Linked DNA regions of Arabidopsis thaliana. The protein of the gene in region 2 interacts with the protein of the main gene of each other region in a pairwise test. Each region holds a gene or a part of one and is shown on either strand. Other genes may lie near its edges. The genes, in order: BRCA2B, RAD51, RAD54 and AT1G04650.

Region 1 (7,822 bases), 6.8 Mb from region 2:
GGTGGTGTATGATTTATCTTCAGCATGAAGGTGATTTACAAGCACCGATTATAAATAGGACTCTTTGCCGAAGTTCATGGATGACCTGAAAATTGAGCAAACCAAGAAGGCTTAATACAATAGAACAATCTTTTTGAACCGAATACTTATAGAAAGAGGAAGTCGACGAGAACGAACGGATTTGGAAGAATAGAGCTTAGCCCATGTTTGGATATGGGCACTGCGGGTTTTAAGGTGAGAAGAGTAGGCAGCTTCTGCGTTTATGAAGTAGACTGAGTTCTCTGTTGTCTCAGCAACCCACATTTCGTTTGTCGCATCCTTTGCTCTTTTAATTAGATTGCAAAATCCGACCTGCCAAAAATTAAGCCCACAAAGCATATATTTTTCAAACAATAATTTCTCGGTGCATATTCTCTCAGTGTAAAACTAGACAAATATTAGAATTTGTACATACCACGGATCCAACCAAATTATGGCTGATGTGGGAAACAGAGCTATCATCCATGAATGGGGTGCTGAAGCTTATAGCAAGAAGACTGTTTGAGATTTCCCCTGAATGTTGTGTGGATCCATCTGTCACAAACACCCACTGCTTCTTTTGTAGAACATCTGTGTATGCATCTCCAACATATACAACGTACGCAGCGATATCAAATTCACTGAAGGACATAATTAGAGATGATAGAGTATAGATTAGCAAAGTGCGGTAAATAGTGTTTTATAAAAAGCTTGGACTACTGAGATTAACCTTGACAGAGGAATTTCACCAAGATTTGACAAAGAGATTGGTTTACGAGGGTTGAAAAAAGGCCTGAAAACATCATCAGGGAAATTGAACAAATTAATGAGATAGATTCCAGTGTCTACTAAAGAAAACCACTTACTGAAAATTTTCAGAATCTTTTGGAGACAAAGGCTGCCATCTTGAGCTTGACCCTCTGGCATGTAAGTAAAGTGTTTCTGAATCTGAGTTCATTGGTACTAGCCCTTTCATTATGTATATTTTCCCCTCCGTCAGCTCGGTTCTCTGTCACAGTAGTAGACAATGATAACTGTTTTAAGAATCTACAAGAAAAAAGTTGAACAAGCTAATCGATGATGCTCTTAATGCAACAGTACAGTGATGGTAACGATTTTTTGATATGCATTTCAGTCCATTCGAGGTCCACAGCAACTCTGACGAGCTTATATTTGGAACTCCCCGTTCCATATAAGCTCATATGGATAAGGTTCGTGTAAACTTATAAGCCATTAGAAAAATGCCTTCTTTTAAATTGTGCATGAAACATTCAGATTTAGGCATTTGAATGTACCTGTCTCTCCGTGGGATCCCAGATTGTTACAATGCCTTCTTTTGGATTGTGCTCTCCTTCATTACTTAAGCTCGTCAGGCCAACAAGCCTAATCCTCATGAATGGGGTGACGTTCCTTTCACCTAAACCAGCGTCTTCCAGAGCTTTTGCCACTGATTTTTCCATCTGCATTTGCTTGGCTGCCTGAGGTTCAGATTGAAGCAGTTAATTACTGTAATCAATATATCAAGAAAAGGGAATTACTATTCTACCTCAAATTTTGCTTTATATGTAGTGAAAGATGTCAACTGCTCTAGGCTCATTTCAGCCATAAGAAGTTCAGGTTCAGCAGCCGTCTCTAACAGCTTAAAGACCTTGGCTCCTTCTTCGCTGTCAGTATCGTTTTGGCTGTGAACACCATTAATTCCTCTCTGGTACTCACACATAATACCCTCAACAAGAGCTGAGCGCCTACGGAAAATAGAAAAAGAAAGAAAGAAAAGTACGAATGAGAATAAACCATGAGGAACTGCAATCTTTGGCTCTTCTGTTGGCAAAACCATCCATATTCAGAAGGCCAGAAGCTTTTCTAATAAATACAAAGATTCTTTGTCTGTCCCAAAAACTACTTAGAACCCTAATATTGGTGTATGTAACAAATGTCTCTAGCTTTGATGAGTTAATCTGACACTTCTTAGAAAGTGATGTGCTAAATTGATCACATAAATGTTACTAAAAATTGCTACTCTACAGTTATAAGGAAACTTGCCTCTGATTATGCAGCTGTATAATTCTACTTTCTATTCTCTCTGATCGAACTATTGACTTCTTTTCACCTAACCTGTATACATCAAGAAAATATAATGCTTTGCGAGAAGTATAAGGAAGACCAAAGTGCATTAACAGGCACACATTTATATTGACCTTTCCTTGTATAGGATGGGGTATATTCGTGTGATGCCAGCTAGCGTTTTAGGCACTGGACCCCCATTGCACTTGATACAGTTGAAAGCCAGAGGGACACCAATTTCTTTACCTTGAGGAAGAGATTAAGAACGATCAATAGAAAGATAATAATATGAAAGCAATAAGAACTCAGATGATGTAGTGAGGTCCACAGCATAAAGCTACTTACAGAAGCCTAGTCGGTCCGCCCAGTGAGCTCTGTATGTCCCATTAATATTCAACAACAAACAGATTGTACTTGAAATCACTGCCTGAAAGTTTGGTTGAACGAAACTCTAAGAACAAACCAACCTGAGAAGATATCAGAAAATCTTATAAAATGCAAAGTCTAGGAAACCTCAAGTGGTGATGTTGGGGTAGCCCAGCCAGAAAGTCCTGCCCCGAGGATCTTCAGATAAGAGATAAGAACGTAAGCATGCTGCAAGTCAGTGATCTAACCAAAATCTGTGTTGCAAAACAAAGTATATCTTGCATGAATATAACTTACTCGAAGCTTCTGCCCCACAAACAATTTGCCAGCATTCAGCTGCTTGGTTAGCACGACATCCAGAGCAGCATTCATCGAGTACCTGTGATTTAAAAAAAAATCCTATGGAAATGAGACAAGAAAACAGGTAACAGAACAGCAGTAGCAATTTCATACCACCCATCAGTGAGTTCGACTTTCACATTGCTGCAATTATCAGAACAATGTGCTTCCTGAGAACCATTATCGGTCCTTGGATTAATAGCTGATATGCAGAGGACCATCATTGAAGAAGCTGGAGCATCACCACTCAGAATCCTCTTGATTGCAGAGCAATGACCATGATTGACCTCTCTCTCATATCTATTAAGAAGATTAACCATGTTAGACTTTGCATGAGTTTAAGTAACGAGTTGTGTTGTGAGACTGGGAAACCTGTATTTTAGTTCCTCAAGAACATTGGTGATTGTTAGAAAGTTTCCTCTGCATTTGGCTGGGTAGTATATGTCGTAGCATGCAAGTTTCCAGACTATCCACCTGTAGTGATTAGTAACCCACCTAGTGCATATGTAGTGATAGATAAGTTAATAGATATAGACATCAAACTGTCTATCTAATAGAGTGACAATCACATGCAAGCTTCAAACGAACAGTCACACACTTTTTCTGATATAATAAACATATAACACGGTTAACATTTCAAGGGACAGAGAAAGTACTTTCTGGATGCATGTTGTAAGGAAGCACCCGACTCAGCCAACATTTGAAGAAAAGTTTCAGCTCCAACCTTGTTTGAAGAAGACTCATCACAGAATACATATTTATCTGCATTACTTGATTTGATTCTTCTGACATGGTCTGGCACATAATCCATCTAAAACCACCTCGTAAATGTGTTTGAGTGAATGAAGAAAAAATTTATGTAACGCAGGAACAGGTGAAAGGGACAAAAAGATTTTACCCTGGTCGTAGCTGTCGGATGCATTCCAAAAAACTCCTTGATATATACTCTTGGAGACTTTTCTGGATATCTTGTAGAAAGTACCTTTTTGGAAGTAAGTGTATCACACGATACAACAGACAAACCTGATAATAGACAGGACACCAAAATTATAAATCTGAGAACCAACCAATTAGATTAACAAAAAATTAAAATTAAAATTAATCGTATATATTACCACTTGAAGCTTGCTGAGCATTTTTCTTTAAAGGAGTTTTAAAGGATGAAATCCTTGGCCTTTTGAAAGGAGAAACGGAGACTGTCTTTCCCAGCCTTTTCTTTTGGGTACTGTCTTGTTTATTGTTTGCATAAGCTGTATCTCTGCGATTTGTTATATCAACAAGTGGCTGATCAGCAGGCCTTCCAAGTTGCCTAGCTCTTGGAATGAAACCGTTTCCCTTGGAATTATTCACTGCCATATCTGATGCTAAAGGCCTGTTATTTGATAGTCCATGTGTAGCAGGTTTACTGATATTCAGAGCACAATTGGTCTCATCAACAGCCGTATCAAATTTCTTGATCAAATTACCCCCTGAAGCTAGGTTCTCCAAGTTAACTGATCTAAATTGCTTTGAAGATGAATGAAGAGGAGATACAAAACTATTTGACGTATGTTTGTTGCTTGTCTTTTCTTCATGAGCAATATAACCTGTGTTGACACTTCCATTGTTTATAGCAATATCACTTAGCCTTTCATCTTTCTGTGGTGTAAAAAATTGATCACCTCCAGCTACATCATCAAAGAAAGACCCTAACTCAGGGTCACCAAGAAGGTTTCTGGCACGTTTCAACGCCTCAGCTGACACTGACAATGATTTTCCACCAGCAGTCTGAAACTTTGTTGGAGGCACCTTTAACGATGGATTTAAGATTTCAGATCTCTTCCCAGATACATAATTCTCATATTGTCCTGGAGTTCCTGAATGATGCTTAACCACTGTAGCATCAAACTCCTCATGAGTTTTTAAACCGGACCACCCATGTTGCTGGAGGGAAGAAGACGACTGGTTCACATGGTTAAATCCATTCAAATCATCTTCTTCTAGTCCTAACAATGCCTTGGCTCTTGCTAAACCGGCAGAAGATACATTAACCTTTTTGTTGGAAGCTGTCTGAAAAAGACTGTTGGGAACACCAAACCCACTCTCCCTGGGAAGAACGTTGTCTACACAATCAAAAAGAATCTTATTAACAAATAAACTATGAAAAAATGTCACTTCTAATATTTATTCTCTAAACGAAGTAAGATGTGTGTTGATTAGTTCTTCACTATTCATCGTTTTATCTGATAACAACCAAACTCAAGAAACCTGGAAGTTGAACGGAGTAGCAGCACAAACAACAAGTTCATATGTAAATGCGCACACAGCTGGATATAAGACTTAAAAAAAGAGGAGATAAGAACACACCTGAGTCAATTATCATATCACTTCCTAGAATAGACAAAGGTTTGGCAATTGAAGACTCTTTCAAAGGGACAGTTTTCCCCAAGGCCGTCCTGAACATTGGCATAGTTTCAGCTGTATCCACTTGTCTCGTTTGGGGAATTGAGCAATTTGTGTTCTGCAAATCTAAAAGTGTAGCCAAGAACATGGAACATTCAAAAGATTTTCAGGAACACATATTCACCAACATTAAGTAACAATTCAAGCGAATTCAGAAACAAATGACTAGTCAAGGGAATTCAATACTGTCACATAAAATACCTGAATAAGCAACATTCTCTGCTAAAATGGATTTGGCTTTAGCAATCGAAGACTCTTTAAGAACTACAGACTTCCCCAGCCCAGTCCTGAACATTGGGATTTCCCCAGGCATCGATTCTTCCCGTTCTATAAGCTTCGAGCATCCTTGAAGCATCAAATAATAATTCAATCTCCTTTGAGTCACATGACAAACACGATTCGACAAAGAAAAGGAAGATACGAAGAATCACCTTGGAGCAAGAGATCGGCCATGGAAGGTAGAGGAGCTGTCGATTCGAGCGCCTTGGTTGGCGTAGAATCCGAGACGGACTGAAGAATCCGGCCAGCGACTTCCCACCGGAAACCATCGCCGCTGGAATCGGAAAATAAATGCCACGTCGACATTTATTCAGTTCTAGGGTTTCCAAGTTTTCCGATTCGTCGTTATATGATTCAGCCGGAGAACTAAACCTCGCGATTCAGAATTGCCTACCACGCCAAGAGGGAGGAGTCGGGAGTGCGGAATTTTTATTTTTATTGTTTTATTTTCTTTCCCCAAACCAAAATCATCACCAAAAATCCAAAAAGTTAAAAGTTCTGACAAAGGCGGGAAAGTTGAAAAAGATTTGGGCCGAAATTATGAGACGCGTGGTTTTATTTTAACTTTGGGCTTGGTTTTTACGGACATAGCGTTCCAAGACAAGTGTGATATTGCCACGGCCTTTTATTGCGGTAACTAACGGCACGAATGCTAACCCGAAATCGTTCCAAACAATAATTGCTTACGTGGACATTTTAAAACATCTGTTCAATGTGATTGGTGACTGACTTCAATGAAAATTACATTGCAACAATGGTCAAGTATCACAGAAAATTACATTGCAACAATCTCCACCTTCAAATCTCTAAACACGCCAGATTCTGAGAACTATAATTTACACGGGGGAAGCCGCTGAGGAGGCAGAGGGTGCTACAGAGGGGATCGCGGGAACACCGATGAATGAGAGGAATCCGGAGGCGGCATGATCTTGTTCGTCGAGGAAGAGATCATCGGGAGCTCTAAAGGCGCCATGGACACAGATTGTTGCTATTCCGATCATGAGAGCGGATATCAATACAGATCCGACGCTTGTGAAGAAGATCACTGCGATCGTGGAGAGGATTAGGCCACCGAGAGTTTCGTATTCGGAGAAAGATCGGCCGAAGAGGATAAGAGGACGATCTGATGGACGGAAGAGGTAGAGGAAGAGCCAGGAAGCGGCGAGACATAGGAGGAGGATGAGAGAGAATGGGTGGGCGAGAAGAGAGAAACCAAGGATCAGAGCGACAATGCAAACGTAATTCACCCTGAAATAAGAGGAATTTTTCCGGAATCGCGTCCCGGCCTCGGAGAGAGAGTCAGGCTTTGTGAAAGCGGATCGATCGAGGAGCTCTGACCACGGACGGCTACGAGATAGACCACCACAGACCGTCTCGGTCACACCGTTGACAAATGCACGGACGACTGGAGGTTGCGATTCCACCACAGCGGTTACAATCGGAGGCTGATTGGTGGTGTCTGTTGCGGTGGTGGAAATTGGAAGAACAGGGGGATTTGTTGACACCATTCGATTTTGTTCTTTTGGGATTTTGAGATTGGAAAATTTTAGGAGACGAATGATTTAGAGGTTGCTGAAGTTGCGGTAGTGTTATGTATATATAGGATCACAATTACGCGTCTTTCAACTTTGATTATACACCTTGCTTCATCTGATAGCTAATCTATATTCATTTGCTAAAATAAAAATAAAAATAACCTCCTGATATTATAACTCAGGTTATTTTTTTGCTTAACGTAGTTTATACAATAATTCTTGATTACTTAGGCAAAGTGCATTTGACCATTAATGTTCCAGTCACAGGAAGTTTCCCTAATAGAAAATATTTTTAACACAATGTTGATCTGTCATATGGAGTAGTAGACTTGACAATGTCAAATCCTTTTTTCTTTGATAACATTCATCTTCGAATTCTAAACATAATTATATCTAACGAGTAGACAAAGACTAAATAACCATTGTTTACCCTGATAGTAAGTTGTAGCATCATATATAGCATAAATGTTATTTCTTAATGCAACTCCATCAAACCTTAGATATGTTTACAATACGAAGTAGTTCAAAGTTACTTGATCGATGAGAGTAGATCATACATTTCAAGACAATCACACTAATCACCTACCACGGAATTAAAGAGTCGCCCCGTTCCAACCAAAGAAGGATCCCTGCAAGAAGAACCACACGAGAAAAGAAATGTATAATTGATATATCAGGTGGTTATAGGCATAAACACTCCAGATGATGGATGACCCTCTAAGCCAGTTAGACAACGGATTTAGAGAAGTTGAACGAATCTCCTAAATAACTCAACAGTG
Region 2 (4,748 bases):
ATATTTGATTAGCATTTAGCGTCAAGTAGTTGGCTAATCTTATATTTCAAGGTTTTAGCTAGCAATTTTTCATCCTGAATAAAACAAATTTTGACCAGTTTTTATATATAATTCTTTAGCAACTGAATTTTTTTTTTAAAAAAAAATTCATGGTTTAATTTGTTTGTGAATATTTTTTTTAAAATAATTTATGTGATTTCTAAATAAGTAAACAATTGACTTAAATATATTAGATTTCTTAGCAAGAAAAAATTGATGAAATAAATAATTTATAATTTTGAACTTATTAAATCAATAAAGGTCCATAGCTCAGTGGTAGAGCAATTGACTGCAGATCAATAGGTCACCGGTTTGAACCTGGTTGGGCCCTATATTTTTTCAATTTACCAATAATTTTTTAGAAGAGCTTTAGTTATATATTTGATTAGCATTTAGCATCAAGTAGTTGACTAATCTTATATTTCAACGTTTTAGCTAGCAATTTTTCATCTTGAATAAAACAAATTTTGATCAGTTTTTGTATATAATTCTTTAGTAACTGAATTTTTTTTAAAAAAAATTCATGGTTTAATTTGTTTGTGAATTTTGTTTTTTAAATAATTTATGTGATTTCTAAATAAGTAAACAATTGACTTAACTATATTAGATTTCTTAGCAAAAAAAAATTGATGAAATAAATAATTTACAATTTTGAACTTATTAAATCAATAAGGGTCCATAGCTCAGTGATAGAGCAATTGACTGCAGATCAATAGGTCACCGGTTCGAACCCGGTTGGGCCCTATATGTTTTCAGTTTACCAATAATTTTTTATAAGAGTTTTAGTTATATATTTGATTAGCATTTAGCGTCAAGTAGTTCACTAATCTTATATTTCAAGGTTTTAGCTAGCAATTTTTCATCTTGAATAAAACAAATTTTGACCTGTTTTTGCATATAATTCTTTAACAACTGAAATTTTTTTAAAAAACTTTCATGGTTTAATTTGTTTGTGAATTTTTTTTTATAAATAATTTATGTGATTTCTAAATAAGTAAACAATTGACTTAACTATATTAGATTTCTTAGCAAAAAATAATTCATGAAATACATAGTTTATAATTTTGAACTTATTAAATCAATAAGGGTTCATAGCTCAGTGGTAGAGCAATTGACTGCAGATCAATAGGTCACCGGTTCGAACCCGGTTGGGCCCTATATGTTTTAGTTTACCAAAAAAAATTAAATATCATCTTGAATAAAGAAAATTGACAAATTTTGTGATATTTGTAATATTTTATTTTTGTTATAATAAGTGATTACTACATTGTTGGAATTGTGGTGGTTCTCGGCGGTCAAACACCTAGGTACCATTTGGTTGACATTCAAACACCTAGGTATCACTCGGCGGTCAAACACCTATTGTTTTTACAAAACGTTAATTTAGTGTTTTAAAAATATATAATTTTAAGTAAAAATAATTTAAAATAAAAAAATAATTTTGAGAATCCATAATTCGATCAACTTTGATAATATCTAACATTTATAATTTCATGCATTTAACTGAAAATTTAAAATTACTATGGTACTTAATTAATAATAAAAATGAGGAGGATTTTGTTGTTGTTTTTGAGTATTTTATAGAATAAGAATTTGGGCTTTAATAGCCTTTAAAGCCCAATATGATCAAGGCCGAGGAAAAGCTGACCCAAACGTAATCGAGACTTGTTGAAGAAGCCTTTGCCCTCATCGTCGTCTTGTATAATAATTTTGGTTGTGGCGCTTCTTTCAATTTGTTTTCAGTTTCGCCATTTCCCTCCACTCTCAAGCTCTCTTTTGCTTCTCTCGCTTTCTCTGGTGACCCGAATCTGCTCTGATTGAGAGAAATGACGACGATGGAGCAGCGTAGAAACCAGAATGCTGTCCAACAACAAGACGATGAAGAAACCCAGCACGGACCTTTCCCTGTCGAACAGCTTCAGGTTCAATTTCTGCAGATTTCTTTCATTTGTTGTGGAAATTTACCTTCGCAGTCTATACGCTTCATCAGATCTTGCGCTAATTGAAATGGGTTCGGCTTTAATTCACTAAAAATTTCTGCTTTTTTTGTACATCGCGATGTGAAATAGGTGTGAATCTGGGCGAGAATTGAGTTTCGCTACTGTCTGTTAGGCGAATTGGTTTTAGGGGTTCGTTTAATTCAGAAAAAAATCGACACTTTTTGGGGGTTTTATCCTTTTCTGGGGAACTTCTCTATTGCTGTGACTCCAGTGTCATATAATCTCTATAGTTCTTCTCAATTCGTGTTCATAAAAGGGAGATGCATCAGTGTGTTTTGTGTTATGATTATATGCTATTTCATCTCTTTAAATCTTCAAAACTTCAGGCAGCAGGTATTGCTTCTGTTGATGTAAAGAAGCTTAGGGATGCTGGTCTCTGTACTGTTGAAGGTGTTGCTTATACTCCGAGGAAGGATCTCTTGCAGATTAAAGGAATTAGTGATGCCAAGGTTGACAAGATTGTAGAAGCAGGTATTACACATGTAGAAACTTTTTGCTTTCCTTCTCTGTTAAATACATAACACCTCTTTGATACTCTTAGAGTTAATGTGTGTTCTTATTTGTGTTTTCTTCTGTGATAGCTTCAAAGCTAGTTCCTCTGGGGTTCACTAGTGCGAGCCAGCTCCATGCTCAGAGACAGGAAATTATTCAGATTACCTCTGGATCACGGGAGCTCGATAAAGTTCTAGAAGGTTGGTGCTGGTTTCTGGTGCATCTTATAACGGCATTTTGTTATTGTGATCTTACTTTGCCGTATGCTCAACAGGAGGTATTGAAACTGGTTCCATCACAGAGTTATATGGTGAGTTCCGCTCTGGAAAGACTCAGCTGTGCCATACACTGTGTGTGACTTGTCAAGTAAGAACCCTGTTCCTATACCACTCAGTTATTGTTGCTTATCTAGCAGAAATCAGTGATCTTGTCTTTCTTCTTACAATTTCCAAACCTGAGAAAGATATTCACATTAAGGTTCACGTTTGAATGATTAGCTTCCCATGGATCAAGGAGGTGGAGAGGGAAAGGCCATGTACATTGATGCTGAGGGAACATTCAGGCCACAAAGACTCTTACAGATAGCTGACAGGTATGTTATTCTTGTAACACACATGAGATCACAATAGCGTTCTTGAGACGGAATCATCTGTAAGAAATCAAATGAAATGATGCAGGTTTGGATTAAATGGAGCTGATGTACTAGAAAACGTTGCCTATGCGAGGGCGTATAATACAGATCATCAGTCAAGGCTTTTGCTTGAAGCAGCATCAATGATGATTGAAACAAGGTGTGTTGAGTTTATTTTGGTGTTCAGTTCCGTTATGTCTATCATGAGAGTGCTAACTTTTAAAGTTACGATGACCCTATTGGCACAGGTTTGCTCTCCTGATTGTCGATAGTGCTACCGCTCTCTACAGAACAGATTTCTCTGGAAGGGGAGAGCTTTCGGCTCGACAAATGCATCTTGCAAAGTTCTTGAGAAGTCTTCAGAAGTTAGCAGATGAGGTGAACATTCAGTACTAACTGTTTCTTTTCCAATATTGCTCTGAGACACCATCCTGAAGTATTCTCTCTTATGTTTAATGGCTCTAGTTTGGTGTGGCTGTTGTTATAACAAACCAAGTAGTTGCGCAAGTAGATGGTTCAGCTCTTTTTGCTGGTCCCCAATTTAAGCCGATTGGTGGGAATATCATGGCTCATGCCACCACAACAAGGTCTGTAATGTTTGCAAATTCGACAAATCCATGTTTCTTAGTGTTTTTTGTTAGGGTTCGTTAGGAAAGTGTGTTTGTTATGATAATTGATACAGGTTGGCGTTGAGGAAAGGAAGAGCAGAGGAGAGAATCTGTAAAGTGATAAGCTCGCCATGTTTGCCAGAAGCGGAAGCTCGATTTCAAATATCTACAGAAGGTGTAACAGATTGCAAGGATTGATGTTTTTGGCCACAACAATGCCTTGCTTCTCTCTGCCTTATGTGCTTTTTTTTAGCAACCCCTTCACTTGTATTGATGTCAAAAAACCGTTTTCTTTTGTTTTTGTTTTTAACTGTTGATCATAGTGTAAGCGTACAAGTAAGTGATGATGGAGCAAAAGAGCTTTGTAAGTAAAGTTTTTCGGGTAATGAACCTTTTGTGTTTCACAAACGCACACAGCCTCGTGGTTTATACAACACTACTAAATTTTAACCCACGGTATACCGCGGAGACAATTTATTTTTTAAAGTTACTATATATAAAAGTTTGCAAATTATATTTATCGTAAAAATATTTTTATTTTATAGTTTACGATTGTTATTAAGTAACGTCCCGCCAATCCGTCCCGTAAAAAAAACTCACTGATTTTATTTATGATATGTTTATGAATCATTGTCTAAATATTTTTTAATTTTGTAGTAATTAAATGCTATCTAATATCTCTGCGGTTTGATGATTATAATCGAATTATTATAGTCATGTAGAAAAACAATATCAAAATGATAATTTTGTAGTAATTAAATGATATTAAATATTTCGGAAGTTTTATTTTAATAACTAATCGTGTAGTTAATGTGAAGAGATTTTGGGAAGATTGTCAAATATTTAATTCAAAGATTTTCTTTCTAATTATCAAAAACAATTATTAAATGCCAGTGGCAGCCACTGTAAATAAATTCCAACTCTAGGATTTATTTCACAAAGTGGCTGCAAAAATGTATATATAGATATATTACTTAG
Region 3 (7,870 bases), on a different chromosome or scaffold from region 2:
GATCGTGTTACAGCTATCTTTTCTCTTGATGTACATAAGTCAGACTGAAACAGCCTAAAAACACAAACAATTCCTGCAGTTCGTGGTGTCTCGAGGTCTGATACATATAAAACAGAAATTGCCTATATGGGGACTATTGGTGAAAGAAGAAGCCATTATCTGAGCAAGAATCAGTAGTTTTTGTCTATACCTCCGATCAGCTTGTTTGGGCCAAACATCCCAAAGAAGCACTTATCTCTCTTCTGGTTATAGTTTTGTACGTGCAACGGATACACTTCAATAACGAACCCAAGCTTACATGCAAAAATGGGCCATATTCAAGGTCAAGATGGTTCATTATCCAAATCTTCCATCACTTCAATGTCCGTCCGAGATGTTATCTTCTGCACATATCCTGCAATTAGTTTAAACTTCTTAAGTCAATTGCATGTAAAACACTAAATCTAAACCAAACTGCAAAACTCAGAAAGTGTGGCTTTGTTTACTTTTTCACAAATACCAATCAAGAAACCAACTCATAGATACTCTAGAATCTTAAAACTATCATAGGAAAAACATGGAAAAAGAGCCACACTCAGAAACTTACCTATCCCTTGGCAGGGTATGCATTTGCATATAACCTCTTTACCCCTTTTCTTGTAATAGCTGACAGTTCCAGATCCTTGGCAACTTCTACACTTTCCAGTCCATTCATAAACCACTTCCCGGCAATCCTAAAAATTGGTCGGGTTATATTGTGATCAGAAAAAACAATCCCAAAAAGGCATTCTAAAGCAAATACTGCATCAAAAAGAAAATATTGCCTAAACACACCCAAAACTGGGGTGAAGAGTAACTCGGAGCAAATCTTTCCGAAAAAGGATAATTCATGTCAAAATTTAATTCCTATCTTATATCGACAAGAGCTTGCATCTATATTTTTCATGTTTTTGACACACATGCTTTTATAAAATAAGTCCATTGTTGAGTTTCACATTTCAGAAACATCATTCACCTTCCAGAATCTAAGCTTATCGCTCCATAAGAAAGACCAATTAAACTTAATGTCATTCGTCAAGCTACAAGATCAACTCATATATTTGTGCATATTGATTGGTTCGAAGATTAAACTATAGAGCAAATCAAACAGCCAATCGTCAGCTAAAGCAATTAAAATGTTCATCTAAATTAAGTGCAAGTATGTTGAGTCTTATTCAATCATCAAAATTAGTAAATGAAAGTTGAAGCAAAGCAAAAAACCTCGACTACAGGATCACATTGCAACCTCCGGTCAATCACATCCGGCGACACAGGGGATGTATCAGGATAAGTCATAGGAAGAGGAAGCGCGTCGCCATCATCTACCAAGTAACTCTCTCCACTTTTCGACCAGAGCAACCTCCTCTTCCTCCACTTAGCACCTTCACCATTCCCACCGGCGGCGACGGAAACATCCCGAGACCTCGCCGTGTCAGAGGTTGAATCCGCTTCTCGAGGTAATCGGATTCCGTCACCAAGGGGAATATCAGCGGCGGCGCGGCAACGGAGGGAGCGAGAAGGAAGACGAGGAAGGAAAACGAGAGGTCTGTGAGAAGGCAGAGAGCAATTAGGGTATAATCGGAACATTGAGACGAGAAGTTTGCAGGTGCGGCCATGAAATTGGGTGAAGTAATCAACCTCGACGAATTAAAAAAATTCGGATATTTTTGTTTTTGTGTGTAAATACTTAAAAACTTGGGGAAAATTACAAATTTACAATCTTCATGAAACTAACTGTTAGGAAAAATTGTAGCGTCCCATATACTCTGAAGGATATTTTAGTCCTTTTCTGATAAGGTTATTTTATTTCAAATAATTTGGTTTTTCTTTGTTTTTGTTTTTGGTTTTATTTCTTGCCGCCAAAAGAGTTTTAGGATTGGTCAAAAGCGGAGCTCTGGGCTCGTAGGTGTAACGAAAATGGAGGAAGAAGATGAAGAGATCTTATCGTCTTCCGATTGCGACGATTCCAGCGATAGTTACAAGGATGATTCTCAAGATTCTGAAGGAGAAAACGATAACCCTGAGTGCGAAGACCTTGCGGTGGTTTCTCTTTCATCCGACGCAGATCGGAAATCTAAGAACGTAAAGGATCTTCTGAGGTGCGTAATTGAATTTCCTAGATTTCAATTTGAAATTGAAGCTGAACCCTAAACCTGATAGATGCTTCGTTCGCTTGCTGCTACATATCATTTGGAGTTTTAGTGGTTCGAATTTAGGGATTTTAAAGGAGATTTAGTGTTCTCTTGTTCAAATTGATGATTGTGAATAGTCTCTGAAGCTGTATCAAACGCGTATTCCATTGTTTTATGGAAATGGAATTGATACTTATGCACGGTTGACAGGGGCAATCTAGTTGTGCAACGGCAGCCACTCCTTCCTCGGGTGCTTTCGGTGTCAGATGGAGCGGCAGTTTGTAGGAAGCCTTTCAAACCTCCGTGTTCTCATGGTTATGATTCCACAGGACAACTTTCTCGTCGCCTTTCAGCTCGAAAACGGTTTGTTCCTTGGGGTTCCTCAACTCCGGTTGTGGTTGCTTTACCTACTAAGCTGGAAGCATCAACCAATATTGAGAGAGATGAAGAAGAGGAAGTTGTTTGTCTACCACCTGATATTGAACCTTTGGTATTGTGGCAATCTGAAGAAGATGGAATGAGCAATGTAACAACTATCATGGTGCATTCAGTGCTTGTCAAATTTCTTCGCCCTCATCAAAGGTATTCATTTCTATCTAAGAATTGACATCGTGTACAGAGTTTTTTTTAAGGATCTCAAAACTTGATTCCAATCTGTGCTGTGATCTTAAAAATTCTTAAGGCATTCATAGTTTACTTGTTGAACCACGTCAAAATGTGCTCTTCGTTTAAAATCATATAACCCTCAGTGAACTGCTGGTGAATACAACAGGCCAATGAGTATAAAATTATCTCTAGTTGGCATCGAAGATGTTTATACAACTTTACTTACATGGTGAGGTGGTTTTTCTGAGACTGCAGAGAGGGTGTCCAGTTCATGTTCGATTGTGTTTCAGGATTACATGGTTCGGCAAATATAAATGGTTGCATTCTGGCTGATGACATGGGGTAAAATCTATCTTGTCCGTTATGTAAAATTGGATCTGGACTTTTTTTGTTTCCTATGTAATTTTCTTATTTCCTTCTAAATTGATTTGGCAGTTTAGGGAAGACATTACAGTCCATTACTTTACTATACACACTTCTTTGTCAAGGATTTGATGGGACGCCTATGGTTAAAAAGGCCATTATTGTTACACCAACGAGTCTTGTCAGTAACTGGGAAGCTGAAATTAAGAAATGGGTTGGAGACAGGATTCAGCTTATAGCCCTCTGTGAGAGCACCAGAGATGATGTTTTGTCTGGAATAGATAGTTTCACTCGACCAAGAAGCGCTTTGCAGGTATAGCTGTGCATATTTTTTTGCTGACTCTCTGAGAATTGCACTTATCACCTAACTAACGTTAACAGGTACTTATCATTTCTTACGAGACATTCCGAATGCACTCATCCAAGTTCTGCCAGAGTGAATCCTGTGATCTTCTAATATGCGATGAGGCTCATAGGTTGAAAAATGACCAGACACTTACAAACAGGGTAGGATGCAAATACATACTTATTTCGTATCCTTCCAGGTTGATACATTTTTTTTCTTTCTAATATTGGTTATCATCATATTTGACTACAGGCTTTGGCTTCATTGACATGCAAACGTCGAGTTTTGTTGTCTGGAACTCCCATGCAGGTAATGGAAAATTCCAGTGATTATCTCTATTAAATTTCTCCTGACATTTAACACTAAGCTTTCACTCTATGTTTTTTTGCATCTGAATGTTCCAGAATGACTTGGAAGAGTTTTTTGCCATGGTCAACTTCACAAATCCAGGGAGTTTAGGTGATGCTGCACACTTTCGCCATTATTATGAGGTGACAAACTTTGAATTTTGATGCCAATTTGATCATTCTGTATTCTGTCATCTATAAATATGTTAAAGATAAATTCTTGTAGGCTATTCTGTCATCTCTAAATATGTTAAAGATCATTTCTTCTAGGCTATTCTTGGCTAAAAGTTAGGATTAGCCCAAGTTATTTTGTAGTGTATACTTTGCTACTATATATATTCTGTTCGTTTCCAGTATTGCTGCTTCATGCCTTTGGATTCCATTACATTGTAAGCTTCTTTAAAAATAGTCTGTGCTGAGAGAATTTGTTTACGCTGTTATCTGTGTCATACAATTTCAGTTCAATTGACTATAGGTTGTTTATGTTTCTTGCATTACCTTCTTTTGATGCATCCTTGTTTTGATGTATGAAACCTAAGGCACCTATTATATGTGGAAGAGAACCTACAGCCACTGAGGAAGAGAAAAACTTAGCTGCTGACCGCTCCGCAGAACTGAGTTCAAAAGTCAACCAGGTGATTCTTCTTAGCATTTTATATCTAAATATTTGACTATTATTAAGCTTTCATCATCATCTGGATATATCTCTTAAAAGATATGCAATTTGCTTAGATGATTTTGGTATGATGATCAATAAAGAGCATCGCTACTGACCTTTTAGAATTGTTGCTTAATTTAACTGCTATACCTTATTAAGCTTTCATTTTTTTACAGTTTATTTTGAGGAGAACCAATGCATTGCTCTCAAATCACCTACCACCTAAGGTGCTTTTCCTTCTGTATCTGCCGCAGGCTTACAATGCATTAAAATTCTGTTTCAGTAGAGCCTTTACTACTTCTTTATATGTTGAACTGTTTCGTCATATTGAGTAATACCTGGAGTTTTAGCAGTGATATAATCATATGCTGAAAGTGCGGATAGAATGAACATCTTTGTGAAAGTGTCATCTCTTTTTTTAGCTACAAGTTTTTCCCGTTGCCGCTTTCTTTATTTTGAAGCCAGAAATACATCAAAATCTTGTTGTTGGATGTTTCACAGATAATTGAAGTAGTTTGTTGCAAGATGACTACTCTCCAGTCCACTTTGTACAACCATTTTATTAGCTCGAAAAATGTAAGCATTGATCACAGTCATTCTTGTTATGTTTCGTAAAATATTGAAGTTAGAACTACATATAATGGGTGCCTCTGCATGCAGCTTAAAAGGGCGCTTGCTGATAATGCAAAACAAACCAAAGTTTTGGCTTATATAACAGCTCTTAAGAAGCTCTGCAATCATCCAAAGGTAAAACTCATAGCCTCATCCATTTGCGTTTAAGTTTTTCCAATATTTTCTTCTGAGTCATCTTTGTAACATCTTACGGCGCTATTATCAAGTTCTGATATTAAGACGCTAGTTTCATAAATTTTAGTGGTCTTTGATCTATTTGATCGTCAAAACCTTTTTCATCATTCCCCATGTATGCTTAATGATAGCCCTATTCTTTTCTGTGTAGCTAATCTACGACACAATAAAAAGCGGCAATCCTGGAACTGTTGGGTTTGAGAATTGCTTAGAGTTCTTCCCTGCAGAAATGTTCTCTGGGAGGTAGGCTTCTATTGCATGTTTGCATGTTGTCACTAGTTGGGATCTAAATGGAACTATCCTTTCAGATCTGGAGCATGGACAGGGGGTGATGGTGCCTGGGTCGAGCTCTCTGGGAAAATGCATGTTCTCTCCAGACTTTTGGCCAACCTACGTCGAAAAACTGATGACCGCATAGTCCTTGTATCAAACTACACACAGGTATGCTGGAAAATGTCAATTCGAGTTGGATATAAAGTTACTTTTATATTTATTTGAAAGGGACAGTGCATAATATTGGTCATAGAGAATGAAGTATGAAATGCCTCCACATGGATTTTGAATAGATTCAGCTGCTGGTCGTCATTAGTGATGTTACTACTGTCCTAAATTTCAATTATGGATGTTGCAATCTCTTTTGAATTTTGAATTAGTCATAAGCTATGTGTTATGCTGTCCTGAGTTTTATGAGCCATCATATTTTTGGAACTTTTGCATGTGATATCGGAGAAGCTAAGAAAATCGTTACCCTGATTTGTCTATATGTATTCAAAAGGCAACGCTTTCTAACAAATATCAAGAAGTGAACTCTGCATGTTGTTTGATTGCATAAAATGACATGATGGTGTGTTGCATATATATAGCAATTTAAAACCAGCCTGAGTATACAATAATCATAGCCTGCACCTTTTGCACTAGACATTGGATCTTTTTGCTCAACTCTGTCGTGAAAGAAGATATCCTTTTCTGAGGCTGGATGGATCAACAACAATCAGCAAGAGGCAGAAGCTTGTTAACCGGTTGAACGACCCAACAAAGGTACATGACTTATCTATTTATGCCGTTGTTTCGAACCTGAGTAGACACCTGGTTTGACTTTTGGTTTTGGTAGGATGAGTTTGCATTTCTCTTAAGCAGCAAGGCGGGTGGCTGTGGATTAAATTTAATTGGTGCTAATCGACTTGTTTTGTTCGATCCTGATTGGAATCCTGCCAATGATAAACAAGTAATTACCATCCTAATTTCCCCTTAGATATGTTTCAACTTTATATTGATAAAAGATGATCGATTGTGCTGTACATGCATTATTTCGCTGTCAAAACAGGCTGCTGCTAGAGTTTGGAGGGATGGGCAAAAGAAAAGAGTATATGTCTACAGGTTTCTTAGTACTGGAACTATTGAAGAAAAGGTACTGCATAACTAGCCGAACTTGTTACTCAAGTTTCCTTGGGGGAGTTTGCTTACCTCAGATTCATATTTGTTTTCTTGTGGTACATTGGTAGGTTTACCAGCGCCAGATGTCAAAAGAAGGGCTTCAAAAAGTTATTCAGCATGAACAGACGGATAACAGCACGAGACAGGTTCTTGCTGGAATGTTATATGCTTCATCTATTAGTCATTTTGTGTCTAATTATTGAATATCAACCACAACATCTTTGATTTTCCAGGGGAACTTACTTTCTACAGAGGATCTACGAGATTTATTTTCCTTCCATGGGGATGTTAGGTATGTGTTTCTTCTGAAATCAGGGAATGTTTTATGCCCACTCAGAACATCGTTTCTCTATCCACTTTTGGGGACAGATTTTGTACCTCAAGATGATACACATTCAAATGGTTTATCTCAAAGCCTCTTTTCTGGTAATGTGGCTAGGTCTGAAATCCATGAAAAGATGAGCTGCAGCAGGTGCCAAAATGATGCCTCTGGTACTGAGAATATCGAAGAAGGGAATGAGAACAATGTAGATGACAATGCTTGCCAGATTGACCAAGAAGACATAGGCGGATTTGCAAAAGATGCAGGATGCTTTAACTTGTTAAAAAACTCTGAGAGACAGGTCCCTTCTTGTGCTTGTTACTGAGTCCTGCATTAAATATAAGTCTGTTTTGAGCTATTTCTTCATCAATTCCATTGTTAGTTACAAACTCTGCTCATGTCTTTTTACATCCGATTCATCTACAAAGTTTTTTTCCCATGAATATTCTTAGGTGGGCACTCCATTGGAAGAAGATCTAGGAAGCTGGGGTCATCACTTTACCTCAAAATCCGTTCCAGATGCTATACTGCAAGCTTCAGCAGGTGACGAGGTGAGTTGTCTCCAAGTTTTTTCAATCTTATAATCATAAACTCTACATCTTATGTCAGATTTTTCGAAAAGCCAATAACTTTATGATAACTATTTTCATGGTTTATTAAAAACATTGCAGGTGACGTTTGTTTTCACAAACCAGGTAGATGGGAAGCTCGTTCCCATCGAATCAAATGTCAGTCCAAAAACGGTGGAGTCCGAAGAGCACAATCGGAACCAACCTGTAAATAAGCGTGCCTTTAACAAACCACAACAAAGACCTCGGGAACCGCTGCAGCCGTTAT
Region 4 (6,903 bases), on a different chromosome or scaffold from region 2:
GCATAGGCGGTGCAGCTGGAATCGGTGGATTTCATAGTATAGGCGGTGTTGGCGGTCTAGGCGGTGTCGGAGGAGGTGTTGGCGGTCTAGGCGGTGTTGGAGGGGGTGTTGGTGGTCTAGGTGGCGTTGGCGGTCTAGGTGGAGCTGGTTTAGGCGGTGTAGGTGGTGTTGGCGGTGGTATTGGTAAAGCCGGTGGTATTGGCGGTTTAGGTGGTCTAGGCGGAGCCGGAGGTGGTTTAGGTGGAGTTGGTGGTCTCGGTAAGGCTGGTGGTATTGGTGTTGGTGGTGGTATCGGTGGTGGACACGGCGTGGTCGGTGGTGTGATCGATCCACATCCTTAATAGAGAGTATTTGTTGGTTAGGGTTTTAATTAAGGAATAATTAATTAGTTTCGATGTTATTGTTGGTCTTTTAATTCTGTGATCATTAGGGTGACTTTTGATCTATTTTCTAGTTTGGGCTTTTGTAACGTTTGCTTTGATTTCGGCCGTGGTGTTATGAAATGTGCGACTCTCTATGTTTGAATCGTTTTGGTTTAGGAGGTTCTCTTCTTCCATACTTTTGCATGTTCAAAGACAAATTTTTAATTAAGAGGAATTATCAAGGTTTCCGACGAGATATTTTTTGAAAATGAAATTGGTTTGAACTTGTAATGATATTTAAAATATGAAAACATCACTCAAAAATGGATGGAGTACAAACTTTTTCCACTATATATACATTACATGTAAAAAGTGTATAGATTTCGTTTTTGTTGCACTGTCTAACTCTAAATAAGTCGGATATCAAAGTTAGTATATAGTAAAAAAAAAAAAAAGTTAGTATATATATCCAAGTGGTAAAACCCGTAAAATTAACATATATATATATATATATATATATATATATATGAGTTTGGTCAAGGGTTTTGAAAGATCTCGACTAAGAGAAGACATATGAGTTTTGGTTCAAAAAGTCCTTCGATAATCATTAGAAACGAATTAATATATAGTAAAATTGAGTAAAAATGTTAATCTATTAACCAAAGGTTAACTATATAGAAGATTAATATATTATAAAACTAACCAAAACATTGGATATTGGTATATCCGGATTATTTTCCTCGTTGATGATCGCAATATTGCATTCAGCCATCTACTACACACTTCCTCGTTGATGATCACAATAATGCATTCAGCCATCTACTACACACTGACACATATGATTCGTAATTTCGTATGAAATGTTTGAACTCATACTTTTAATTTACATATTTAAGATGGACGTAACAATGAACATTTGTTCAGAACTTGAGATTGTACTACCCCTATAAATAACGCCTATTTACTAATTACTATGCATGGTTCATCATGGTTGGAAATTTCTTTGCAAATGATCTAGTGTATATTAATCCAAAATATATAGGAAAAATACATTAATTGTGGGAGGAAGACAGCAAGAATCCACAAAAAGGAAGCACTAATAAATGACGTAATAATTGCGTTGGGATGAGAGGGACACAAATTAAAGAAGATAGGATTTGCATGTCAAACACTTGTTGTCCCATTTCATGCATCGTCCTCTCTATTGTCTATTTCGCTGTCACAACCTCTAAATTTACATCTCATGCAATTTATTACGACGTATACATACACCCTTCAAATTTTTATTCGTTTGCATTTGTATATATATACATATATATTAGCTAGTAAAATTAATCACAATTTATAATTTTGTAATCATTAAAAATATTGTAGTAAAAAAAGCAAAACCCAAAAAAAATAGAAAAGAAAACTGAACTGGTTGGTGTTTGTGGTATTTTTTTTAATAATTTTGTTAAGGATTTGATATGGGTTTCAATTTTAATGGTGGACCGAATTGAAAATCATCGAGTGAAAATTGAGCTACTTACAAAGCCCAATTAGATCCAACGGGCCTCAAAATATCTTTTATATTCCATTTTTTTTAATTTGTTTTTGTTTAATAAATCAAAAATTGAAAAGCGAAAGGCAGAGAAAATTTCCAATATAGGCGAAATGTAAAGAGCGGGAAGCTAAAGCCTAGAGAGAGATTCTCACACTGCCAAAACAAAATTTCCCTGTAGAGAGAGAGAGAAAGAGTGAGTGATGGAGAAGAATGCGATGAAGTTACTCGAAGAGATCAAATCTTCTGATGTAAGCTTCTCTTTGATTTCCACCTTTGATTTGATTTTCTAGGTTTCTGTATATTTTTTCCAACTAAAATCTTCTGGTGGATTTTATCGCTTCCGGTAGTCATTTCTACGAATCCTCTCTGTTAAATCGAGAAATTTCTTCTGATTGCTTTGGGTTTTGTGATGTTTCTTATCAATTTCCCTTCCGATTAAGTTTCTGCAGCTTAATGTATATATAGAGTGATTAGGATTCAGTTGAGTTCTGTAGCTCATGGATCTAACGAGCTTCGTTTTCTTCATTGTTCGCTCAACAGCTTATCGAGAATCGGGCTCAATTACTCACGCGGCTCAGTCAGTTAGATGTTGAAGAGAATTCTGATTTGCCTTCTTTTGTGGAGAGCCTAACTGTATCCCCAGTCTTTTCATCAGTTTTGCTGATTTTCAATATCTTCAGTTATACTATGTTTAAAATTGAGATGTGGATATCCATTATGTGACGGTTGGATTCAGGATAATGAAGTGACGAACTTATATCTGCTTATTTGCATGTTTCACTTGGATTCATATATGCTTTAAGTGGTTTGTTTGTTTGTTTCCAAGTATTCCTTGACAGCTGTATAGACACTCTGGGAAGATTTCACATGTCTTGACGTTTCCCTGTGTTTGTTGAACAAGGCGATTCTGCCTGTGGCTTCAAAATACCTCGCTTTGGATCGGCCTGATTGCTCACACTACTTTCTTGCTTTTGCTATTAAGGTACAATGTTTTCATTTTTATTGCTTACTGCTCAACCTCAATTTTGGAGGGGTGTTGTATTATCTTTTCTTATTCCACTTCTTCTAGGTAAGCCAATGGTGTGCCAAACATTTAAACATGTCTGTTATGTCCATGGAGGAGTCTCAAGAGGAAGAGCATTCCAACATTTTCTTTCAGGTTATTTGATGCTTTTTGGTTCTGGAAGTAGGATTCTGTCGCAGCTTATGGTTTCGAAGGGACTGAGTTATTCAATCAATGTTATGCAGCTTCTTTTGGATTATCTTCGTTTTTCTGCCTCAAGCTTTACTGCTATTGGAAAAACTTGTTTCATGACTGATGATGCCTCAGCTGTTACAGTTCATAAGTTTGTTTCAGAGCAGCTCAATTTGACAAAGGAGTTGATAATGAATTCCAAGGTATCTTTGAAAATCATCTTTATCTTTCGCTAGTAACTACACGTACCATATCATGAAACATTTTTAACATTTGTTTTGTTGAAATTACTACTGTAGGTTGAGAATCAACTTGAGATTATTGTTTTGCCTTGTTGTCATCTGTTAATAACTTTCACCTTTCTATGAGACAGAAAGTCGAATCCTTTTCCTCGGAGATTTTTAAGGCTGTGCAAGTGGTAATTGATTCTACTGTTCGTCTGTGCAAAGAATACTCTCAAACAGTGAATCGTGAGGTAAGTGAAATGAAGACGAGTGGACATGTAGGAAAGGCAAGGATGGAGGAAGGCAACGCTGTGGGTAATTTGGTGAGCATGATTACGCTGGGAGTTAAATCTCTGAGTGAATTGGGTATGCTTGCTGCAAGAGATGGTGGAAATCTTGTGGCCATTCTTAATACATCTTGGAAGGGTGTGATTACATTGCTTCAACTAGACAAGCAGACATTGGTATCTAAGGTAGATGTAGGAGAAATTATCTTAAAGCTAATATCACTGATCAAGGACTCCCTGAGATTTGCTGCTGAGGCTTGGTCTTGCTCGGTGAAGGAAAACATATCTGCAACGGAAGCCAGAAGGGTCTTTCTTCCTGTGAAATTTTATCTTATCAATGCTGTTAAAGTTGTGGCGCTGTTTCCAAGCCAGGCGTCTATGGTGTCCAAGGATATAGCACTATGCATCTTGATGATCTCTGCTTTCAAAGTTTCACTGAGCCAACAAACTCATGGAAAATCCGCAAGTGAAGTAATGACTGATCTTCTGGAGAAAACAACTGTAGATCTTCTAGGTGCACTGTTAAATGCAGCTGAACTAACACAGGAATTCAGGCTCACACTTCTTGATTCATTGTTCGTTGATGAATTCTCAAACCAAATCTGTAAGAAGCAGAGCCATGATTCTCACACAAAAACATCATTGGTGGATATCTTGTCTTTATCTGTTGAATCTGCGACAAGTGCTAGAGATTTGCTCCTGGCCCGAGTTGTATTGTTCCAGTCTGTCATGAGGTATTCTTTCGAGCTTGACAAAGATGCAAAGCTTGCAATCACCACAAAGCTGCAATGGCTTCTCGACATATTAGCAGACAAAGAGGTTTACTCTTCAGTTCTTTCCTCTCAGCTACCAATGGCAGATGGTTCTGGGAAGATAGTAATCTGGGAATCAATGTATTCAGCTCTGCTTCTGTCTCTCAAAACCCTTATGATCATACTCTCTTCAACTCCTGCCTGGGAAGAGCTTGAAACATTCCTACTTCAGAATCTCTTGCATCCTCACTTCTTGTGTTGGCAGATAGTCATGGAACTCTGGTGCTTCTGGGTTCGTCATGCCACTGACGATTTGGTGGTCGATATGATTAATCAACTTTGTACATTCATTATGTCAATGCCATCATCAGAAACACCTCTTTGTCCAGATTCCGTTCTCAGAAGAACTACAAAGTCCATCTGCTTTCTTCTTACCCATAGCCCCAAATCTTTAACAGTTCAAGTTTACAAACATATTTCTACTGAGAGCAGATCTGACCATGCACCTGATGTATATCTAGCATTGCTGTTAGACGGGTTTCCACTGAATTTTCTTCCAGACAGAATAAAAAACGACGCAAAGAGACAGATATTTGCAGATTTCTTCAACTTCATCGAGAAATTCGATGAGAAACCGTCAAATTCCTCCAGATACACTCTGCTTGGAGCTCCAGTTTTCACAGTATCTGCTTGCCTTCGGATACTGTAAGTAATGATAATATATCTATTCTTGAGACTTCTCTGGGGATTTTATTACACGAGATAGCAAAAGTCAGATAATAGTAACTGAAAATAGTGTGAGCGAAAGGGTACATTTTCAATTTTTGTGTTGTGGATATTATTGACTGTTGTTGTTTTTCTTCCGTGTAGAAAGATGAGCATATCAGAGATTGATGCCAAAACTCTGAACTTTGTCGTCGCTCTCATTCAAAAGTACAGAAACTCCAAAGATGAAACGACGAAGGAACGTTACAGTGAGATTCTCAGCGAAACATTATCTATCATCTCAAGAAGCGAACAGCTATACACTTGCCAAGAGATGGATAATGTCATAACAGAGCTTCAAAAGCTATTCAATTCAGAAACTAATCATCATCATAATCATCTTCGTAAGTCCAAGCCAAACCTTGCTCTCTTCTTGTCAGGACTCAGCAAATACGAGATGTCTGAAACCAAAAAGTGTCCAAAGAGCATTGCGGTTTGGGAACTCTACCATATGCTTCTCAGGAAACGCCACTGGGCTTTGGTACACCACGCGGTTACTGCGTTTGGATACTTCTGTGCACGTACAAGCTGTAATCAGCTATGGAGATTCGTACCTGAAGACGCGGCTCTAGCCTTCGATATAGCTTCTGGAAAAGAAGCGAAAACAGAGCGGTTCATGTCGGAATTAAAGATGTTTTTGGAGAAAGAACAAGCGCTTCTTTCAATCACACCTTCAGAAGAAGAACTGGAGTTACTTTCGAAAGAAGGCACCGAGGTTAAGGCAACAGTGCAGAAGCTTCTAGAAGGAAGAAGCCAGAGGTCAATGGAAGTAGAGAAACGACCGAACAAGAAAAGGAAACTTCCAGAAGGAATTTGCAGAGGAATGGAGTTATTGCAGAATGGAGTGAAGAGGATTAACGAGGGTTTAAACGAATTGAGGTCAGATGAAAATGAGAGTGAAGAGTTTCAAAAGAGTTTATCGAATCAGTTTTCGTGTCTTGAAGATTTGGTCTCTCATTTGTTAAGCCTCACCGCAGCTTCGGACTAAAGTATCTTCAGTGGCTATCTATCACACACTGTTAAAAGACTTTTATGCTAACAGATGTTTGGGATTAAAGATGTTCTTTAAGAAAGAACAAAGCGCTTCTCTCAAATACACTTTCACAAGAGGAACTTGACAAACTTTCCTCTTATAACATGATAAAAAGTTGAAATAGTAGCGGATTTACCTCTTACCACCGAAATTTTTGAACAAACGAGGTTAAGTTGTCGACAACGGACTATAAGATTTTTGGGGCCAAAGGCTTAATTATTTTCTCAAGGTAACATTAAAATATTTTAAAAACATTATTGTAAAAATATTAATAAAATTGGGACTTCTTTGTAATATATTTTGCTTAATTTCATCAGAAAATGTGGGGCCAAAGCCCATGTTTTTTTGGACGATCAATTTCGCATAATCCATTAAGATTTAATATTATTATTTTATTTTTTTTGTCTGGGTCAAAACCACACTAAATTCTCATTTTACTGATTTGGATGTTTGTTTGGTCACATGACTTTTACACTGATTTCTTTGTTTGTTTGGTCAATAGTCAATGGGATAGTTACTATGTGAAGAAACCGTCGAGCCCTTGGAATACTATAAAATCAACTCCAAGAGCAACCTGAAAAGCCACATTCATAAATACAAACATCAAAATGGAAAAAGTTTCTATTGTTTGCTTCTTCTTCTTTCTTTTATTTGGTTCGGGTTATGGGGGCCTCCCACCGTTCTGGCGCGCTACGGTTGTCACGATGACAAACTTGATTGGCGGTCCACCTCTTACCATACA

The links.
Region 1: the proteins of RAD51 (region 2) and BRCA2B interact in binary tests that used the Arabidopsis thaliana proteins (3 or more experiments, as listed by UniProt).
Region 3: the proteins of RAD51 (region 2) and RAD54 interact in binary tests that used the Arabidopsis thaliana proteins (3 or more experiments, as listed by UniProt).
Region 4: the proteins of RAD51 (region 2) and AT1G04650 interact in a two-hybrid assay, tested with the Arabidopsis thaliana proteins (one study listed by BioGRID).

What each region holds. Positions count from the first base shown.
Region 1 is NC_003076.8:235,098-242,919, forward strand, and holds the start of BRCA2B (BRCA2-like B), read right to left. Parts: upstream 6,010-7,822; 5' UTR 5,815-6,009; coding exon 5,661-5,814; intron 5,575-5,660; coding exon 5,431-5,574; intron 5,296-5,430; coding exon 5,134-5,295; intron 4,890-5,133; coding exon 3,903-4,889; intron 3,811-3,902; coding exon 3,686-3,810; intron 3,599-3,685; coding exon 3,444-3,598; intron 3,283-3,443; coding exon 3,160-3,282; intron 3,088-3,159; coding exon 2,902-3,087; intron 2,828-2,901; coding exon 2,746-2,827; intron 2,647-2,745; coding exon 2,596-2,646; intron 2,510-2,595; coding exon 2,428-2,509; intron 2,329-2,427; coding exon 2,217-2,328; intron 2,134-2,216; coding exon 2,062-2,133; intron 1,764-2,061; coding exon 1,565-1,763; intron 1,497-1,564; coding exon 1,314-1,496; intron 1,028-1,313; coding exon 885-1,027; intron 812-884; coding exon 749-811; intron 660-748; coding exon 455-659; intron 352-454; coding exon 178-351; intron 86-177; and 2 more. Other genes in the region: PRA1.B5 (prenylated RAB acceptor 1.B5), read right to left, coding at 6,345-7,016. UniProt on the Arabidopsis thaliana protein: Involved in double-strand break repair and/or homologous recombination by mediating RAD51- and DMC1-facilitated DNA repair. Plays an essential role in both somatic and meiotic homologous recombination.
Region 2 is NC_003076.8:7,069,978-7,074,725, reverse strand, and holds RAD51 (RAS associated with diabetes protein 51), read left to right. Parts: upstream 1-1,759; 5' UTR 1,760-1,865; coding exon 1,866-1,961; intron 1,962-2,365; coding exon 2,366-2,510; intron 2,511-2,620; coding exon 2,621-2,731; intron 2,732-2,805; coding exon 2,806-2,897; intron 2,898-3,028; coding exon 3,029-3,123; intron 3,124-3,208; coding exon 3,209-3,322; intron 3,323-3,410; coding exon 3,411-3,540; intron 3,541-3,627; coding exon 3,628-3,749; coding exon of another isoform or gene 3,750-3,813; exon of another isoform or gene 3,814-3,844; coding exon 3,845-3,968; 3' UTR 3,969-4,235; downstream 4,236-4,748. UniProt on the Arabidopsis thaliana protein: Binds to single and double-stranded DNA and exhibits DNA-dependent ATPase activity. Unwinds duplex DNA. Component of the meiotic recombination pathway.
Region 3 is NC_003074.8:6,652,942-6,660,811, reverse strand, and holds the start of RAD54 (DNA repair/recombination protein), read left to right. Parts: upstream 1-1,848; 5' UTR 1,849-1,935; coding exon 1,936-2,117; intron 2,118-2,360; coding exon 2,361-2,732; intron 2,733-3,011; coding exon 3,012-3,098; intron 3,099-3,191; coding exon 3,192-3,432; intron 3,433-3,500; coding exon 3,501-3,626; intron 3,627-3,717; coding exon 3,718-3,774; intron 3,775-3,869; coding exon 3,870-3,956; intron 3,957-4,351; coding exon 4,352-4,447; intron 4,448-4,646; coding exon 4,647-4,697; intron 4,698-4,971; coding exon 4,972-5,046; intron 5,047-5,099; coding exon of another isoform or gene 5,100-5,130; coding exon 5,131-5,217; intron 5,218-5,428; coding exon 5,429-5,520; intron 5,521-5,585; coding exon 5,586-5,718; intron 5,719-6,195; coding exon 6,196-6,315; intron 6,316-6,388; coding exon 6,389-6,502; intron 6,503-6,601; coding exon 6,602-6,685; intron 6,686-6,779; coding exon 6,780-6,857; intron 6,858-6,944; coding exon 6,945-7,003; intron 7,004-7,150; coding exon 7,151-7,334; and 6 more. Other genes in the region: SCO2 (protein disulfide isomerase), read right to left, coding at 324-394, 587-713, 1,240-1,605. UniProt on the Arabidopsis thaliana protein: Dissociates RAD51 from nucleoprotein filaments formed on dsDNA. Could be involved in the turnover of RAD51 protein-dsDNA filaments. Addition of RAD54 overcomes inhibition of DNA strand exchange by RAD51 bound to substrate dsDNA.
Region 4 is NC_003070.9:1,294,106-1,301,008, reverse strand, and holds AT1G04650 (holliday junction resolvase), read left to right. Parts: upstream 1-1,985; 5' UTR 1,986-2,105; coding exon 2,106-2,153; intron 2,154-2,445; coding exon 2,446-2,538; intron 2,539-2,752; coding exon 2,753-2,887; intron 2,888-2,925; exon of another isoform or gene 2,926-2,974; coding exon 2,975-3,064; intron 3,065-3,153; coding exon 3,154-3,303; intron 3,304-3,473; coding exon 3,474-5,068; intron 5,069-5,233; coding exon 5,234-6,116; 3' UTR 6,117-6,382; downstream 6,383-6,903. Other genes in the region: AT1G04660 (glycine-rich protein), read left to right, coding at 1-341; AT1G04645 (Plant self-incompatibility protein S1 family), read left to right, coding at 6,770-6,903.